Drosophila melanogaster: one gene and its partner. The protein of the gene in region 2 interacts with the protein of the main gene of each other region in a pairwise test. Each region holds a gene or a part of one and is shown on either strand. Other genes may lie near its edges. The genes, in order: CG8319 and bap.

Evidence for each region.
Region 1: the proteins of bap (region 2) and CG8319 interact in a two-hybrid assay, tested with the Drosophila melanogaster proteins (one large-scale study listed by BioGRID).

What each region holds. Positions count from the first base shown.
Region 1 is NT_033777.3:9,623,631-9,630,177, forward strand, and holds CG8319 (uncharacterized protein), read left to right. Parts: upstream 1-3,690; 5' UTR 3,691-3,767; coding exon 3,768-4,279; intron 4,280-4,340; coding exon 4,341-4,980; 3' UTR 4,981-5,046; downstream 5,047-6,547. Other genes in the region: CG8312 (uncharacterized protein), read left to right, coding at 1-948; CG9427 (uncharacterized protein), read right to left, coding at 1,592-1,702, 1,797-1,934, 2,039-2,329, 2,605-2,706; Calr (calreticulin), read right to left, coding at 5,431-5,985, 6,078-6,547.
Region 2 is NT_033777.3:21,386,372-21,393,058, forward strand, and holds bap (bagpipe), read left to right. Parts: upstream 1-2,508; 5' UTR 2,509-2,643; coding exon 2,644-3,088; intron 3,089-3,209; coding exon 3,210-3,913; 3' UTR 3,914-4,078; downstream 4,079-6,687. UniProt on the Drosophila melanogaster protein: Involved in the determination of cell fates in the dorsal mesoderm.

The DNA of each region.
Region 1 (6,547 bases), about 12 Mb from region 2:
TACTTCGACATGCAGCTGCACAAGAACAGCAGCCAGAGCATGGTGAGCCTGAGCGAACTCAAGGAGGAGGAGGGTGAACCGCTGAGCCTCCTGCCCACTATTAACAGCGATCCCAGCGCCGATCCAGAGGCGGACTACAATGCCGAGGATCACGATGTGACCGCGCCTCGACGCAGTGGCGTTTGCAGCGACGGCGAGGAGGACTTTCTGGACGATGCGGACGACCATTATTTCCGGCATGCGGCCATGCTGACCATGCTGCACCGCAGTTCGATGAGAAAGATGCGGGCGGCCGATCAGACGAGTCTTAAGTACCGCCATCAGACGCAGTCATCGATCTCCTCCAACGCGTCCAGCTCGACGACGGCCAGCACTTCGGCGGCAGCGGGCGGAGGATCCGCCCAGCAGGGTCTGACCAGTCCGGACAGCGACGAGGGTTCCATATCCAGCGGCTGCGAGACGGCCAGCACAGTCACAAATGCCAACCACGAGGAGTACAACAGCAAGCGGGTTAGCGATCCCGGCCAGCTGGAGCAGTCGCCGGACTTGGAGCTGGAGCAGGCGCAAGTGCTGGAGCAGATGATGATCTACCAAAGACTGGAGCAGCAGCTGCGCAAGAACAGCGGCGATGCCACCAATTACAGCAGCTCGAGCAGCATCACACTGAAGCGCAGCAATTCCGGCAGCGACAAGCAGGAGAGGAGCGACCATCCGGATGACGACAACAGCGACAGCGACGAGAGCGGCTACGTGGAGTTCCAGGAGAAGGAGCGACCGGGTCAGCAGCCGCTGATCAGCGAGGCAAGCGTTACGCTGGCCAAGATTGCGACCGTCAAGCCGCAGGTACCACCAAAGCCGGCTCCACGTCGCTCGCTCAGTCTCAACGCGGTGGCCACCGGCGCCTCAGCGGGCTCATCCGCTGGTAAGGCTCCGGGCACCGCTGTCTGAGCGAAATGCTTTAATTACAACGGAAACCCGTCTACAAATTGTTATTTCTGCACACCCGTCAGCGACCATAGCAAAACACAAAGTGCAAGAAATTGAAATCCTAGTTGTAGATTAGCTATTAGCACCTAGTCGTTAAGTCATTTGTTGTTGGTTCATCGAGAGGAAAACCTAACGATATTCGCCCATCCCCCATTTTCCATCCCATCATCTAAATCTGTGCCCCTTGATCCAAAAATAATGAATTTATATTGTACGCATTTGTAAATAAATTAGTCGCCCTACGCACTGCATGTACTATATACATTTACACGATTGTCATTGATGAACTGTATCTTACTTATCAATATAAATTATTATCTGAACGGTGTGTGTGCTGCACAGAGGAAAGTGTGAACAATAACAATTGGTTAAATTATATATATATGATATCAAAATTTGATTTATGTTACATTTAGAACGAATTATAGCCCTAAAATAGAAAGAACCTAAACCAATTTTGTACTGTTTGTTCTCTGTGACCTTATTGATTCGCTTGTGATTATATCGATTCCATTCCCCCAGAGGACAGGCATTCTTGTGCGTTTATGAATTTTAATTTCATTCCAAACTTGAGGCAATTACATTGGACATTTAGCAGATCTATCTACTGGCAGATTGTGCTGCTGCTGGGCAGCAAGTTTTGTTGACGCAACATATAACAAACCGTGCCGCGGAAATCGCGCAGCGAATGGTCCTGCAGCTGCTGATCGAAGACCTGTTGCATGTGGAAACGAATACGAATGTGAATAAGAAAACCAGTTGAGTGCATTCGATTACGGCGACGATTGATCGCGGCTACTCATACTTACGCCATTGTAGACGATGGTGGGAATGAAGCTCGGGCTGTACTGTTTGGTCACCAGCTCCGCCTGCAGCTGCAATTTGGTGCCCGTCTCGCTGGACAGGCAGTGGACCACATCGGTGAGCAGGCCTGCCTCATTGGCACACTGCGTATGGAATGGTAAAGGTATATATAATGGGTACAATGCACACAATGGGCGTTAATCAGTTGGGCAAACACAGCACAACGAGTACGCGGAAGGTAGATTACCTGATCAATGCGGGAATAATCCGGAGCTAGCATCTGGCACACCACGAATTTAACCTGCGCCGCCTGGTTTGCGGTGCTGTTGATGACGCAACTCTGGAGGCGATTGCCCTTGCACTCAGCCGGTCCGTGCTGGCAGTGGAAGATGGCACCATTGCGCTCCGACTGCGATTTTCCGAAGGGCACTAAGAGTATATCAATGTAGTCCCCGAACTCCTCGTAAACGGGTCCTAGCTGATGCATGAAGTTCCTGCTGTCCGGGCACAAGGACTCGTAAAGGAGGGTGATGTGCAGCTAAAAAAGGAATTATTCAGTCGAAAGATAAAAATCATATGATGCCTTTCACCTTAACTATTAATTAGGCTTCGCATTATACCAGTAATTATTCATTTTGGGCTACTGAATAATTCTAGAATCTAGATTCAGATAAATTTACATAAAGAAAGTAGTGTTTTCTTAATCATATTACTAGTTCTAGCCGAATTTAAATAGTATAGAGAACACAGCTTAAAAGAATTTGTTCACTTAATGTAAACAAAAAAGCCAAAGGCGTTGGATTGCAATCAAACCTTGTTGGACTGGCGCTTCTCCCGTGGCTTCTCCTCGAGCTTCGCCCATCCGAGGGACAGAACGAGAAGCAGAAGGCTTGCGGTGGACGCCAACTTCGTCATCTTGTGACTAGTAATTTGAGCTTTGGTTAGCCAAATCGATCGACCTTCGACGAAGTGCGGGAATGAAGGCTTCTGTGTCCGCAGCGAATGCCAAGCCCAAGCTAACGCGACCGTCGGACTCGATTTTAGTTGAGCAACTGAGCGCCGCCGTTTTGTCACATTCGGTGCTTAATTTTGGCTAGCAGCGAACTGGGAACGGGCAGAGCTGTTTTACCACCTCTCATCGACGTTCTCGCAGGCAAGCCGGTTTCTTGACTCAGCCTGATTTCGATTTAAAAAGCTTAACTAAGCATTCATACATTTAACGGATTCGCAATACGATAATTAACACTTTTGGCTTAGTGCAAATATTGGGAAGAAGTTACTATGAAGGCTAATAAACTTTTTATTACTTGTCAATAACTATGCTATTATATTTATTGTATTATATTTATGTACTTCTTTGTTAGATAAGCATAATTTAAAGATACAGTATCTCACCTGTTTCATATTCAACTTAAGCTGCTCCTTGATTTCCTGGCATATATTTTCAAGTACCGAGTAATATGTGAAAGTCTGCCATATCAGAAGAGACAGCATAAAGGATAGTATTATATTCACACTTAGTCTGTTCATGTCTGCAATAAATATACCAACTAGTAACTACGTTTTCCATATCAAACTAATTTGCATGGCCAATTTCACGGAAGCGTTTAAAATACAATTATTTGCTTTATTTGAGTCTAAACGGTGTAGCGCGAACTATTTAAATGCAATCGATTGGCGACTGTGGCTACAGTTATCGATAGATTTTACTTTTAAAAACCGTGACTCAATGAATCTAAATTATCAACTATGAATTATAATGAATTACTATTTTCAATTTCTTGTTATTTTATTAACAACATAACTTTGCTTACCTTTCATTTATAAATACCGTGATCGAAAATTGGAGTCACTAAAGTCACGGCAGAAAAGTTCATCTCTATTAAGCCAAAGCCAAACAAAGAAGCACACAAAAGTTTATACCATAGTTTATTGTTTACCAAAAATATGACCTGTAGTTAAACAGCAGTTAAGCAATGGAGGACCTGTGTCGAATTTGTGGCGGGGCCTCGGAAAACATGCTGGGCATTTTCGACGATCAGGTGGAAGAATATGTTGATGGAGCCAAGCTCGCTGAGATGGTGAAGACATGTGCCGACGTGCAGTTGGATCCCGACGACGCTATGCCCCAAAAAATGTGCATTTCCTGTGTCCACGATGCACGAACTGCTTACGGATTCAAGCGAAGATGCGAAGAGAACTACAAGAAGTTCTATTTGGCGATATTAAATGGGCAGGTCATCAAGGACGAGCCCAACGAGGAGGATTTCCTATTCATTGAGAACCCAGACAAAGGCAATCTGGAAGCAAAGAAGAAACTCAACAAGGAAATTAAAAAGACACATCAAACAGCTTCCAGAACAACCAAGTCTTCCATAACAACCAGTAGAGCTGGCAGACAGCTAAGGAGTATAAAGAATCAGACTTTCAAATGCGAACTATGCATCAAACAGTTCAAGCGCCAAATAAACCTCCTGGACCACATGAAGTAATTACAATCAATACATATGATTTCACCTGTTCTTAAAATTGTATATCTCATTCCACAGGGTTCACAGCAATTCACACGTATGCCAAAACTGCGAAGAGCGTTTTCTGTTCAAGGCCGATCTGGATAACCACCAATGTTATCGCAATAGCAATTCCACCGTCGAGTGCCCGGAATGCTTAAAGGTCTTTTCAAGCACCCAGAGCCTGGACAGCCACAAATGCAAGGATATGCAGGAGCGTTCGCCCTTTCAGTGCCCCCACTGTCAGCAGGCCTTTACTCGCGAACAAAACCTCAAGGCGCACCTGTTGATCCACGCGGAATCGAAACAGGGAAACGGACCCCACAAATGTTCATACTGCCAAACGGGATTCTTCAACAAGTCGGCCCTCAAGGTGCACATCCATGCGCACATGGGCGAACGGCCGCATGCCTGTCCCTTCTGCGTGTCCAACTTCCGTTCCAAGCAGGCCCTTAAGGTCCACATCCGCATACACACGGGCGAGAAGCCCTACCAATGCCCCCACTGCCCCAAGACTTTTTCGGACAACAATAACCTGGCGAAGCACCGACGACGCCACTCGGATGAACGGCCCTACAAGTGTTCCATCTGCCTGCAGGACTTCCGGGAGAAACATCATCTGAAGCGGCACTTTCTGGGCAAGCATCGGGATGGAGATCAAAAGCTAAAGCTAAAGTGATACCTTAAATTCTTGACCAAATACCACGGCTTACTCGAATAAATAAATTAGGATTCGGTTATGTTTATATCTCATTGTTTCTATAGTTCATATTGGGATTTAATTGAATTTAGGATTTATATTTTCGTAGAATTCGAACAGCACTTTGAAAACCATTTGGAGTGGCAACACCGTTTTTCTGTAAATCAAAATTCGATGTAGACACGACGATATAGACAGCGTTGCCATTCGGCCGTGATTTGTTCACGTGGCACCACCATTTTGATAAACAAGCTAAACAACCCTTAAATCGCTCGAAAAGAGCAATGGAAAAAAACAACAAGTTGTATGTTTATAAATTATAAGTCTTACAAATTGTAATTGTGGTTTCCGTTTGCTTAGAACATCAAAGCAGCTACCAACACACAAAAAATACCGAATATTTCTCGACGTAATTTTCCCTAGACGTCCTTACAATTCGTCGTGTTCGCTTTGATCTTTGTCTTGCTTAGATTCATCATCCTTCTCCTCATCGTCATCATCCTCGTCCTCATCGTCCTTGTCGGAAGCCTTTTTCGCCTCCTCCTCGTCCTTCTTGCGCTGCACCTCATCCTGGGCCTCCTTCATTTTCTTCTCGCCCGCCTGGGTGTTCTTGACTTCGGCAGCAGCCTTAGCGGCCAGCTCCACGTCGTCCGTGATCAGGACGTTGTCGAAGATAGTGCCGGACTTGACCTGCCAGAGATCGAAGCCCAGGGTGCAGATCTCCTTGCGCAGATACAGCTTGTCGTCGGGCACATACTCGGGATTGGCGATCTCGGGATGCTCCCAGGCGCCCTTGTAGTTGGGGTTGTCCAGCTGCTTTGGCTGCCACTCGCCCTTGAACTCAGGGTTGTCGATCATCGGTGGCTCCCACTCGCCGTCCATCTCATCGTCCCAATCCTCAGGCTTTGTGGCATCTGGGTCGGGAATGTGCTCTGGTTTGTCCCAGTCCTCGGGCTTCTTGTCATCGGGATCGGGAATGGTGGCCTACAGAGATTTACGTTGTTGTTTAATAACAATGAGCCAAACCGGTTTTTCGATGGGCTAAAGTCTGATTTGGGCGGGGATTTACAACTTACCCTATCGTCCCAGTCTTCGGGCTTGGTGGCGGTGGGATCCTTGATCTTCTTGGGGGCCAGGAAGTCCCAGTCGTCCTCCAGGTTGCCAGACTCCACCTTCTCGTTGTCGATGAGCACCTCGTACGTGTTGTCGGGTCTGACAATCAGCGTGTAGAAGTGGGTGTACACGTCATCTTTGCAGCGGATGTCTTTGCTGATTAGGTGGTTCTTGCCCTTGTAGCTGAAGATCACATGGACCTTCTTGGTGCCGGGTCCGCAGATGTCCGGGCCGAACATGATCTCGTACGGCGACTCGCCGTGCATGTCGGTCTGGTCGAGGGAGCAGTCGAACAGCTTCACATAGCCGCCGCCGCAGTCGATATTCTGCTCGTGCTTCACGGAGAACTGCACCACGAGGGGCTTGTCCTCGTTGGAGAAGCCATCAAACTTGCGGCTGGCCGCGTAGAATCGAGCATCCTGAGAGGTCTGAA
Region 2 (6,687 bases):
GCTGCCGTTTTAAAAGCGATAAAAATTAACATAATTTCTTTAAGTGAAATTAAGCAATAAGACATTTAATTGTGTGTCTGGATAAGCAGAACTAGTATTTAGTGTTCCATATTACTACTGTAGCGTATTTATATTTTGAGCATTATAGTTGACGACAGTATCGATATTATCAAGATCGTAATAATAAAAAAGTAGGTCCTGTTTTAAGCCAACTGACTTATTAAATTAATTCATTGTTTACCAATTTTTCTGGCATACTTATTTTTAACTGCTGCTTATGTATGGTTTATGCTGATTATGTAAGGAATCATGAAATGCATGGCTCACAACCCAGTTTACAACACAGATAGTAACCAATTAACTTTAATCACGTATTTTATTTTAACACATAAATATAAAAGAAAATACATTTTATATTATAAAAATACATGAATACTAATATTGATATTATTTTCAAGAACGGAATAAGCAGCCGTACTTATGAATTTAAATATTTTCTATTTTGTGAGAGACAAAATCAATGCAAACTTAACGTAGAAAAGCACTTGTCCCCATTCAACATTAAAGTGGCACAAGGAGATCAGGTTTCCCAGCCAGATCCATGAATGGTAATGAAAAGCAGGGAAAGGCAAACATTTGAAGTGGCTTTTGATAAACCATTAAATAAAACTCAATACCACAAGGACAACAAGTCTGCAAGAATTCTGGGCGATGGGCATTCGGAAATCAAACAAGAAACTGTCGAATTTAATTGAAAATGCCAATTCATCATAGGGGTGGGATGGATTTACTCGGCCCCCTCCACTTTTATGTAATTGAATACCTGCTCCATTCGAGGGTAATCGCATCAGCAAAAGAAGCTAACAAAATTAGCGACAACACAAGCGGAGAGTCGCGTCTCTTGGGCGCGTGCGTCTGCCACAAGCATCATTATATACTAATTACTCGAGTATTATCGAAACCCATTCAGGCGAAATGGTATAACGAGTAGCAGTTCCTGCCCCGATCCATTCCAATTGCACACCGCACTTGGTCCTGAATTGGTTACTCAAATCTGACCGCAAAACACGGAACCCTCACCCACTCACCCCGCTCACTTCCATCACTTTCGCGCTGGTCTTCCATTGTTGGCTTGACTTTGCGGCGCCCGCGGCTTTAAGAGCCACTGAATTGGCAATAAAAAGATTATAGCCCGAAGGTGTGAAGTGCAGTGGAGAGCAGAAATCGCACCGAGATCCGGAATCAAAAGGCACAAAAGCCACCCCAGGCGGCGAGGCGATGAGAACGCGTGCTCGTTTCGCTCGGATTTGTTCCCAGCATCCGAACATCCCAGCATCCCACATGCCACTCGATTCGAGTGAATCAGTTGAGTGCCTTTCGGACTGAGTGGGCAGCCATGTTGCCACAGCCTCCGGGCATCCAATCAGCGCTCTTTGGGCTCCATGCCAACCAATGAGAAGAACTTACCTTGAGTACTCTTTGAGTGATCTCTGGAATATTTGCCCAGGTTAACTACTTAACCAGTTGCTTATAATGTGAACTATAGTTTCTGAAATCTCAGTCTTAGCCATTTTCGCTGGTTTGATTTAGTTATGTTCATGTTAAAAGCACTATTATTTTAGTTTCATTTGCTTAGTTAATACACATTACGGCCTGTATAAAAAATTATGAAACACTTTGCAAATAAGTGCCTAAATTTTTATCTATTTTAAAACTATAAAACCATCTGTTTTAGATTTTATTTATTAATTTAAAAGCTATGTAAGGTAAATACTTCATATGGCTTTCTTACTTTTCCACCAGCTGGCTGGATTTATTAAAATAATATTTGGTTCAGTAAAATAATTTATAGAATTTTAAGATATTAGCTGCCTAATAATTTGTCATAATGTAAGCAAGTGGCATACGTGATTATATTATGTATTGTAGTTCGAATGCTCGACTTGAAGTAGGCAGCTACGAAGAAATATTTTTGGTTAGACCCATTAAAGTATTGTTTAGTTTTTGGCTAACGATTCCAAACAATCCCATGACCCAACTAACCTACTTACACTAAAAAGTTGGAGTTTACGGTTGATTGTTTCCGAATGATTTAAATTCTAAACAAATCGTTCGTTTAAACAATGAGTTGAGATGGGAATGGGTTTAGTATGTAAACCCATTCGGAGGACTGTACCCAAAATGTGGAAGACAAAACACCGAGGAGCAGTTAGCGGGCTATAAACAATAAACAGGATGCATGCACTCCCCGCGTGTTAAGGCGCACCATACAAGTACGTGGCAGCAACCGTAGCCATTTACGACCGACTTTGTTTACGCACTTGAGAGGAAACTCAAAGGCTCTCCAGCTAGGTTTCGGATCCACCAATGGCAGGAGTCGAATGCCAGTTTCCACCCCCACGGATGCCGGCGAGCCACTTGAGTACGGCGCACATTTCCACTCCGTGAGACCGAGTGAATCTCGCCGGGGATCTCGGCTACTATTTAAAGACAGCCCGGAGCGCCCAGTTGAAGCACATTCGCTGCGCAGCCCTCGAGTCGTGAAGATCGGAAAATCAATAGAAATCCGTAGTGAACAAGTGTCGGAAAGGCCAAAGACAATACCTATATATATATATCCGAAATATTCAGAAAATTCGAAAAATGCTGAATATGGAAAGCGCGGGTGTCAGTGCTGCGATGGCGGGTCTGAGCAAATCGCTCACCACGCCCTTCTCCATCAACGATATCCTAACGCGCAGCAATCCGGAAACACGTCGCATGTCCAGCGTGGACTCCGAACCGGAACCGGAAAAGCTGAAACCCTCCTCCGATCGCGAGCGATCGATCTCCAAGTCGCCGCCACTCTGCTGCCGAGATCTCGGCCTCTACAAGCTGACCCAACCCAAGGAGATCCAACCAAGTGCCAGGCAACCCAGCAACTATCTGCAGTATTATGCGGCGGCGATGGACAACAATAACCACCATCACCAGGCAACGGGCACATCGAACTCCAGTGCCGCCGACTACATGCAGCGCAAATTGGCCTATTTTGGATCCACCCTCGCTGCTCCTTTGGACATGAGACGCTGCACCAGCAACGATTCCGGTAAGTAACCTGCACGAAATTAACGCCATTCAGGCTCTAATGGACTCTGAAAAGAACGCTACTTATTCATTGGCCTTTTGTATAGGATGTATGCTAACTTTTGGTAATTTTCCCTTTACAGACTGCGACTCACCACCGCCATTGAGCAGTTCCCCCTCGGAGTCGCCGCTATCCCACGACGGCAGTGGATTGAGCCGCAAGAAGCGGTCGCGTGCCGCCTTCAGCCACGCCCAGGTCTTCGAGTTGGAGCGCCGCTTTGCCCAACAGCGCTACTTGTCCGGTCCGGAACGCAGCGAGATGGCCAAGAGCCTGCGCCTGACGGAGACCCAGGTGAAGATCTGGTTCCAAAACCGCCGCTACAAGACCAAGCGCAAGCAGATCCAGCAGCACGAGGCCGCCCTTTTGGGTGCCAGCAAGAGGGTTCCCGTCCAAGTCTTGGTGCGAGAGGATGGCAGCACCACCTACGCTCACATGGCTGCTCCCGGTGCTGGACACGGCCTCGATCCCGCCCTGATCAACATCTACCGCCATCAGCTGCAGCTGGCCTACGGCGGACTTCCGCTGCCACAGATGCAGATGCCATTCCCGTACTTCTACCCGCAACACAAGGTGCCGCAACCCATACCGCCACCAACCCAGAGTTCCAGCTTTGTGACTGCATCCTCGGCGTCCTCATCGCCAGTTCCCATCCCCATCCCGGGTGCAGTGCGTCCCCAGCGAACGCCGTGTCCCAGTCCCAATGGCCAGATGATGAGCGTCGAGAGCGGAGCGGAGAGCGTTCACTCGGCGGCGGAGGATGTTGACGAGAATGTGGAGATCGACTAGGTTGGGAGTGACCATGTCTCGGAGGAGAACCGGGGCTACGTTTTTGTGATAGCCGTAGAAATTGTGTTTTAGCCTCTATGTGTAACCAATAGATGTCCCATAGCTTTAGTAGCATTAAGTTGTAGTCGTATCTACCCGAGAGCTAAATAAAATTATGAATTAAATAAAACTTGGTTTTTGTTTTGAGTTTTCTGCTTCACTTGAATTTCTTCACTTCATGCAGTTAAAACAATGCAGTTCGAAAAACGATAATCAACTTATCCTGGAAGAAGTACAAAGGTTTATAGTGATTTATTGTGTGTTTTATAACAATACATGTTCATATATTTCAACGAGATATATTAACTGATTCTTCTTTGAAGTCGCCTTATTATATAGTTAGCAATTGATTGGGTTTGTTTTTCCTTTTTCACAAAGGAATTTACAATTATTTACGTTAAACTATTCACGTTAAGGTTCATTTTTAATTTTAATATGTTGGCAAAGGAAACAAACCACGAAGTATCAATCTACAATAAATAGAGGTGGGATCTCATTGCTAGATTTTAAAATGTATTTAGTATTTTAAAAGAGATCTGCTTTCTGAAAAGAATACATCAAAAGGCGCTTAGCCACTAAACGATTGTTACATAAATTAATACCACATGACCTCAATTCGCATCAGCGGGCGGGAAGGCGAGAGGCTTCTCAGACCCTTCAGAATGACAGCGATCTGGCGGATGAGGGCCTCGAGATGAGATCCGCTGAAGTGGAATGCGTGTGGCCGGAGCCTTGCGAAAGCCGAAAGCCGCTGATGATGACCGACTATGACGAGCCCACTCAATGACGACATAGAAGTGCTTCAATGTGTCAGAAAGGTCGGGCCGGACGTCTGCGACCCACAAACCACTGACTTACATACGATGTTTCCCGGGCGCTTTTGCACAATATCGTCCCGGGTGGGATGGAGGAGGAGGAGGAGGAGGAGTGGGAACGGGATTGGGATCGGAATTAGGATCGGAATTGGGAACATAGACATGTCCTTAGCGGCACAGTTGGTGGCTGACGACACAAGGACCTGCCTCAAGTGCCCGGCGGCGACAATTCTAACGGCCGGCCGACCTGTTGATGTTTATAAACAAACAAACAAATAGAATCACCAACTGACGCCCAGGATCGGAAAAGGACATGTGCCCAGTGGAAATTGTCGACTGATCGACTGATCATTGCTAAACATTCACTTCAAAAGGAAACAATGTCGTTAGAAACAATGTTGCTCGTATTTCCAGAGAAACATTTTTAAATATCCCCTAAAAATGTTCACCCCTTTCACAAATAAAAATATTTAAAAAAATATGTTATATAAATAATACAATATCTGAGATTTAAGGATAGAAGGATAAATGAAACCTTTTAATTATTTTTTCAATCGGCGCCTAGCGTATGAAGCCTCGGAGTTTTTCCACATATTTTCTAAAGTGCTGAAAATTTTCGAAAGTGGGGCATTGAACGTGCTGGTCTGGTGACTGCCAACTGAAAAAACATTGGTATGAGGAGATCTCTAAGTACGTATATTGCTCTTGGACGCATTCTTAGACTAAAAGCACGCAGGCATTTGACAAATTTGGGACACTAAAATCGATTGACAGCTGTAATTACTTGGGTAAATAACAGATACAGCGGCTTGAGGATGTATCTTTTTGCCACTGTGCTCCCAAATTCTTGTCATATTTTATATTTCTGTTATAGATTTGTGTATTTATTTAAATTATTTAAATTTTCTGTTTTAAAATAAACACGAGTTACTGGTCCAAACTATATGATTTCCCTTCTACGTTCAGACACGGACTGTACCTTTAGAAAACGTAGGTGCTTCAACTTTCTATGTGGATTCTTGGGATGAAATAGTTTTAAAATGTGTTTTTAAATTCCGTTTTTGACTCATAAAGACCTAAATAAATTGAATAAATCTAAATTGCTAAAAATTTGATGTCGTGCTTTTGATTTCCATAGAAAATCGTACATTTTACTGATTATATTATTCTTTAAATTATCCACAGGCAATTAGGAAAGTGCAACGAGTGGGAAACAAGACTGAGTGTTTTCTGAATTTTGAGTGAGTTTTTCGAGGCCCGCCCCATTCCGCACACTCGGCAACCAATAACACGCATAATTCACGGACTCTTTGACTTGGAGTTTCGGTTTTACAGCACGCTTCGGATTTCGAAGGGTTGAAGACGCACGCTGCATGTGGTCTTGGAGTGAATGCAAATCGTCCTGCTCGTCCGGCGGCTCGGCTACTAATTTGTTTATATTGCGCCGCCTCCGGATTTGTTTATGCAACCTTTTTTATGACACACATGCCGGGGTGCTACGAGATGTCAGCTACTTGACGGCAATCCTTTTAAACCCGGCCGCCTGATATTTGGCTTGTAATTAATATGGAAATTAGTCATGGGTCGCTTTCGGGGTCGGGGCCCAAGTGGCGTATGCGCAATCTTTGAACTGCAATTAGTCGTCGCCTGTCACCGGGAATGTCGAGGACGTCGGGTAAACAATATTGGCAATATTTGCTATTTGTTTAAACATATTGGGCGGAGGCCTGCATTCTTAAGCAGAGAGTGCATTTAATGGCGGAACGCGAAATTCAAAAGAAAACGCCAAAAACACGCTGGCCGGACAGCTTAAAGTGTAAACAAAATGCCCGATCCGTTCACTTATTATAAAATGCACTGCATTCTTGTTTTGGCCCATCTCGATGCACTTTGCATCAGCGCTTCGGCGTTCGCTTTCCA